Linked DNA regions of Canis lupus familiaris. The protein of the gene in region 1 interacts with the protein of each later gene in a pairwise test. Links are inferred from orthologs where the notes say so. Each region holds a gene or a part of one and is shown on either strand. Other genes may lie near its edges.

Evidence for each region. The genes of interacting proteins can lie anywhere in the genome.
Region 2: the proteins of EXOC1 (region 1) and RESF1 interact in a two-hybrid assay, tested with the Homo sapiens proteins (2 studies listed by BioGRID and IntAct). The link is inferred for Canis lupus familiaris from reciprocal best matches to the Homo sapiens genes EXOC1 and RESF1.

Annotation. Positions count from the first base shown.
Region 1 is NC_049234.1:48,934,582-48,937,954, forward strand, and holds the end of EXOC1 (exocyst complex component 1), read left to right. Parts: coding exon 1-70; intron 71-1,677; coding exon 1,678-1,830; 3' UTR 1,831-2,742; downstream 2,743-3,373.
Region 2 is NC_049248.1:29,734,791-29,738,450, reverse strand, and holds part of RESF1 (retroelement silencing factor 1), read right to left. Parts: coding exon 1-3,660. UniProt on the Homo sapiens protein: Plays a role in the regulation of imprinted gene expression, regulates repressive epigenetic modifications associated with SETDB1.

The DNA.
Region 1 (3,373 bases):
GAAAAAAGGTCTAGATAACCTCTACAAGAAGGTTGATAAACACTTATGTGAAGAGGAAAACTTACTTCAGGTATGCTTAGTTCTGTTCACCACCCTAGATTGTACATCTTTATGTATATTGCTTTTCTCCAAAAGAGTACTCTAGAAAGACTACAGATTTTCTAATTATAGTGCAGGAGGAAATTTCCATAAAGTACAGACCAGATTAATGAGTTGTGAGGAACAAAGGAATAATATTTATAAGTATATATGGCTATTCCTGCTTATTTTATATTTCTGCTTTATTGTTTTGAGGCATTAGTTTTTCTTTTGTTTGGGAGTAAGGCAGGGGTTTTTTTAGGCTTTTTGTTTGTTTTTTACAGATGAGAGTAACTGAACGGAATAGAGTATAGTACAGTGGAATGATTTAAGCATGGGAACCAGAGTTAGAAACAGGTTCATAATTTGGCTTCAGGTTAAGCTGTATGACTTTGGGCAAGTCATTTAACCTCTCTGAGCCTCAGTTTTCGTATTTGAAAAGTGGAAATGATACCTCTTTCATATAGTGGATACTACTATTATTGTCATTGCCATTTTATAGATGAGAAAATCAAAGCTTGGAGAAGTGGAGTAACATGACCAAGAACCCATAGTTAATGGATGGTAGAGTCAGATTTAAATCCCAAATTGAGCCATACTGAAAGGCCCAGAGATGAGTGAGAATAATTCTGGCTTCAACATCATCAAAGCCTTTATGAGGGCTATTGCATTTGTGTTCGCCTAAAGTCTCAGATAGTTACAGATAATAGGAGTGGCGGGTAGAAGAAATACCAAAGGCTAAAGATGTAAGGCAAAAAGTATATTATTTAGTAAGTAGACTTAAGGTGACAGGAATTTAGGATTTATGGGATTTAGCGTTTACAAGGAAAAATCCTAGAAGAATACATTCCCTCATCTATCGGGTAGTGATGATGGTCATAGCACCCACCCTCACCAGGTAGTCATGAGACTTAAATAGGATAATGCATATATAAAGCACTTTGTACTGTGCTGATAAAAAGTAAGTATCAATAAATGTCACCTGTTACTATTAGCTAATATCTCAATGTAATATCAGATTCTGTCCTGATAGTTATTTACATAGTAGTTTCTACTGCTAAACCATAAATCCTTAGATCGTATATAATCCATCTATTTCATCTTAATTTCCTTCATGGCTTCAAGCTATGTTTTGTATCATCAATTTGAGATAAATTTTTAAACTTTCATCTGAAATGAAATTTAAGGATTAACTGTTGCATTTCATTTAATTGCTAGTCTTAGTTCCATGCATAGTTGTGCATATACACATCTGTATTAGATATTGTAATAGATAAAATAATAGCTAAATGTAATGAGTGCTTACTATGTCAAATGTTCTAAGCACCTTACATACATGCACTCATCTAATCCTCACAAGAAACTTATGAGGAAGGCATTATTGTTACTACCCTGGTTTACAGAGGAGGAACTTGAGACCCAGAGCAGTGATGTAACATATTCAAGATCACATATCTTGTATGTAGAAGGAGCAAAGATGCATGTTCTTACCCATGACACTCTGCTAAATTCTTAGAATATGTCCTGACATTATTTCTACATACTTGATTATATATTTCCATTGGTAATTTAATGACTTTGTTTTCATTTTTGTAATAGGTGGTGTGGCACTCTATGCAAGATGAATTTATACGCCAATACAAGCACTTTGAAGGTTTGATAGCTCGCTGTTACCCTGGTTCTGGTGTTACAATGGAATTCACTATTCAGGACATTCTAGATTATTGTTCTAGCATTGCACAGTCCCACTAAAAAGAAGAGATAAATGAAAGAAGTGTCTACTATTTTATGTATATGTATATTTATATCTTCTTTTCATATACATATATATGAAAAGAAAAGCAAAGATTTAGATGCTAGGGAGCCCCTGTTGCTTTAACTCAACAGATTAGGCAGGAGGAATGGTTATATACAACTTTCCTTATTTGTGTAACTAATAACATGAGACCAACCTATTGCAGGTGGTCACTTGGATATATGTGCTAACAGGGGCATGTGAAAGGAAGAACAGCAAATTAAGTGTCCCTGAAAGTGACAGAACCATACTTTTGACAAGTTTATTTAATTCTTTGTGGTAGAAAAGGCACAGCTCCAATAAATGTATCATTTAAATTTTTAAAAATTAAAAAAACTTCTGAAAGAAGAAAAGATAAATGAAAAAGCACTCTGAGTACACCAGACATTATTCGAAATTTTCAAGTAACTGTTTTGAGAACCCAGACTTGAAACTTTATGCATTATTAAATGTCAGATAAATGGGTAATACCATACTACAAATATTCAAGAGCAAAAGTACCAACTTATTTAGCAGTTTTAGTTGCCCAATAGGTTGTGTACTAACTTGAAACATTTCTCTCATCATAAAATGCCTTTAAACATATTTCTATAACTGAACAGAAAGTTTTCTTTATTGCCTAGTTTCTTGTATTTGAGAATGGTTATCCTATGTGTAAGGCAGTAGGAGTTCTTCTGTTGCCATTAATTCACTATTGCTTACAAATCATGTAACTACTAAAATATTGTACAGAATATTTTTCCCTCTGTCTAATTAGTGTGTATATGGATAAGGGATCTTGCGATGATCATTTGTAAACTTAGATTTTGAGAATTATGTGATTCTGTGTGGCAAAAAATCTGAAATAAAGAAATTTTCCAAAAAAATAATTTTTTCAGAAAAGTTAAAATTTGGTATCATTCTCAGATCTGTTATACGCTGGTTTTTTGTATAAAAGCAAATTTTTACAAGATCAACATACAAAAATTACATGTTCATTTACCACAAAACACTTAAAAGTATAATAAGAGGGACATCCCAGGTGGCTCAGCGGTTTAGCGCCACATTCGGTCCAGGGTGTGATCCTGGAGTCAGTCCCGGGATCAAGTCCCACGTCAGGCTTCCTGCATGGAGCCTGTTTCTCCTTCTGCCTGTGTCTCTGCCTCTCTCTCTCTCTCTCTCTCTCATAAGGAAATAAAATCTTTTAAAAAAGTATAATAAAAATATCAAAAATATTTAGTATTTAGATCTAAATCTAAGAAAGCATTGTACTATGGACTGAATTGTGCCTTATGAAAATTCATATGTGGAGCCCCTAGTCTTTCCCCACAATAGTGCAACTGTATTAGAAATAAGGCCTATAAGGGAGTGATTAAGGTTTAATGAGATTATAAGGATAGAACCCTGATCCAACAAAACTGGTGCCCTTTTAAGAAAACACCATGCTCTTTGCCATGTGAGAACACAGCAAAAAGGCAGCCATTTACAGGCCAGAGAGAGAACTCACTAGAATTCAACCAT
Region 2 (3,660 bases), on another chromosome or scaffold:
GTAAGAGGCTCTGAGGTTTATTTTCTGGTCTCTCTTTATTAAACTTCCTTGGTGAACTGTCTAATTTTGTGAGACAAATGCTCTCGTGCTCAGTGCATCTAAATGCAACTCTGTTCAGATACGTTTTCCTTTGATCCTTTGACTGGGGAGGCATTTGACTGAATTCCACTTCACTGTTTGAATTTTTGTCTAACTTGGTTTTATCAATCCACATTTTCTCAGGTTGATTTCCACCAACTATTCCCTTAGCATCCCTTGAAATGTATGCTTTAGACTCCTCTGAAGAGTCAGTCTTGAGGTTTTTACCATGGCTTGCACAAATATTTAATGATTCCTTACAAGTCTGTACACTGCTATTGTGTCTCTCATTTGATTTCTCCCAACTCCCTACTTGCGTGGAAAGTTTATTAGACTTCATGTATTGAGAATCACACTGTAAGTTTCTCACACAGCTTTTCTTTGATGCGTTGCTACCCATTGCTTCTTTGTGTTTCTGTCTTTGCAAATATTCCTTTGGTGTTAGAACTTTATTAATTTTAGATGAGTTACCCTTAGAGGCTGCGGATTTAACATTTGACATAGTCTTTTCTTTAACCCTGGCTCTTTCATTTGGGATTGACAAAATATTACATAATTTAAATGTTCCATCCCCATTTTTATTCTGCTCTTGTTTATCATATTTCTTCTTCTTTACTTTTGAATCAAGTATGCTCCCATCATCTAACTTCCTTTTATCCGAAACTTCTGTTCCAAAGCCACCTTTCAATCTTTTCTCTGAGGATACTGATTGTACCAAAGAACCATTTTTCATATGTAAATCTTTATTTTTATTTGTCAAGAAGCCTGCCTTTGTTTTTAGTGGGTGTGAGTTTTGTGCCATGAGCTTTTGGTGCAGACTCTCTTGAGAAAATTTTGTCATTTTATTACTGGTGTGAAAAGTTATCTCATGAAACTGCAGTTTTCCTTTTCTTTTGTGACTTTGCATGGAATCTAGTTTTTTATCACCTTTAGAAAAAAACTGACCTGATAATTCTTGTTCTGTCCTCAGTGATTTGTGTTTTGTTTTGGGCATTTCAGTTATATTTTTGCCTTGCTCTATTTCAGGAGAATGGTTTTTCTTATCTGGAAAAGTCAAAGGAATCTTCAGATTGTTATTTAGAGGACTCTCACATCCACGAGAGACATTTCTATCAGAAGTTCTTTCTCCTTCCTTACAACTTTTGATCTTCAAAGGTGAACACTGATTTTCCCCTTTGTCTTCTTTTGAAGCTGAGTTATTGATGCAATTATATTGACACTGGGGTACTCCTTCATAAACCATAGACAGCCACCCCAATGTATAGCAACCAACATCATCTTTCTCTGAATCCATTATATTATCATCAGTCTTTCCATCTGTATCTGCTTGTGGGTCACACGGACTCCCTTCTATTTTTATAGGCTCTTCTTTCTGATGTTCTGTCAACTTGTCAACCTCACAGAGTGGGTCGTCATGTTCAGGAAATAATTCTTTCATTTGCTCAGAGTTTAATACCGTAATCTGTATTTGTTCTGTTGAGTCCTTGAAGTCACAACCAGTTTGATCTTTTGAGATTTGGTTGGTTATCTGTTGGGCCACAGAACCTTCCTTTGTGTTCACAGCTTCAATACCATAGGGAAATTCTTTTAAAAGTTCTGACAGCTGATCGTGTAGGTATGAGAAAGATGCCTTATCATTGAGAATCTCACTTCTTGCAGGATCTTGGGCAGTATAATTGCAGGACGCATCACCTTCCTGAGGAATAGCAGACAATGAACATGTATCATTAGCTGTGCTTTCTTTTTTAGTGACATGTTCCACGTTGCTTTCCTCTAGAATTTCACTGTTGGCTTTAACATACTTCAAAGATAACGATTCTGGATGTTGTGGTGATTCTGCTGGTCCAGTTATTTTATGTGAAACATCTACACACAGTGAAAAATTACCATTTTGAAAACCAAAGTCTTTATTTTCAGTGAGGCTGTCTATTTGCTCTTTTTTACTAATCACTTGATGATTGGGTAGAGAAGATTTCTGTGGCTCAACCCTTTTCAAAGGAGGCAAGTTGAATATCTCTGCTATTTGGGAATTATAAGATGTATCACCTTCAACAAGAGAACAAATGTTGTCAATATGTAACATATCACCACTAACAATATCACTGTTCCTTGACTTATATGAGGCCTGCTGTTCACTCACAGAACAGTGGGGATCTGGTTCGGATTTGATATGATCTCCTTGATGGCTATTAGGTGTATCTTCTGAATTAGTCGATTCATTTTGATCTTCCTTCTGAACTGATGAGAACATCTTTGTATTTGTTGTGGTATCTGCTACTGGTTCATTAACATTAGCTTTCAACGCAGCAGTAACATTGGTATTTTCTGCCAACTGATTTTGTAAGCTACAAACACTGCCTTCTTTAATAACTGGATACAGTGTTTCAGGTACCGCTTCAGGTGTTACACCTTTGGCAGACAATGTTTTGACATCTGAAAGAATTAAGGGTGACACTACAGCAACCTGAAGTTCTGTTCCCTTTGTAACAGTTGCACTGGAAGACTCATAATTCTGTACTACTGTTGACAAAGATGTTTCTTGGGAAGTGTTTACCATCTTATTCTGAGAATTTCCTACAACTAAAAATGGACTCTTATCACAGGTTTCCACAGGCTTTGAAAATCCAACTGCTGTTCTGTTTTTTGCCTCATTATACTGTTTTTCTTCTGTAGGTTCTTTAGGTTGCTTTTTCCACAGAGAAAGACATGTTGCTAGCAATTCCATGGAAAAGTGATGGTCACTTTTAGAAGACATTCCACTCGAGGATTTCCGCTCAAGGCAAAAAGAGTTGTCTAAAACCTTGGTATTTATATTACAAGGACTTGGAGTTTCCATGGTTTTCAAATTCGTTTGGTTACCAGTGACTTGGGTATTTGAACTAATTTCAAAACTATGTGGTTTAGAGCCCTGAATAGTTTCACCAGTATTTTTAAATAATTTCTCCTGTAGTTTATCTCTACATGTAAGTAAACTGAGAATCAGCGTATTTTTATTTGGGTATTTTGAAACATATTCCTCAAAAGATGTAGACTGAGGAACAGAAGTTGTTTCAGAATTTGTTGGCACATTTGGTTCAACGTTGACATTTCCTGATGAAACCTGGGTGTTATTTAATGTTGTCTGGGTAATCTCAACAGTTGATGACTTTAAAGAAGTCCTAACTTTCATATCATTTAACTGGTCTGGCATTGGTAACTTTTCTGAATAGACAGAATTTCGTAAAGTAGAATTCACTTGGTTACAATTTCCCCAATTGAGGTCTTGAATGTTAGAATTCATTGTAGTGTGTGTTCTACTTGTTTCTTTTGCAGATTCCATTATGGTTGGTGGCTTATTCTCTGGAGTCAGTAGGGTTACCTGTGGCCCAGACTGGATTTGGACATTTTGTTTCACAGACAATTCAGAATTTGGAGCTAATTCATTGTAAGGGGTATCAGTTGTTTTAATACAACCTGCTGCCATCAAAAGATTTTTATTAATTTTAATTTTCCTTGCAAGTTCGGAAAACTTCTTTTTTATTTCTACTAATGTTTTAATATCCCTCACTAACTTCTCTTTTGTGGCATTTGTGTCCAGTATTT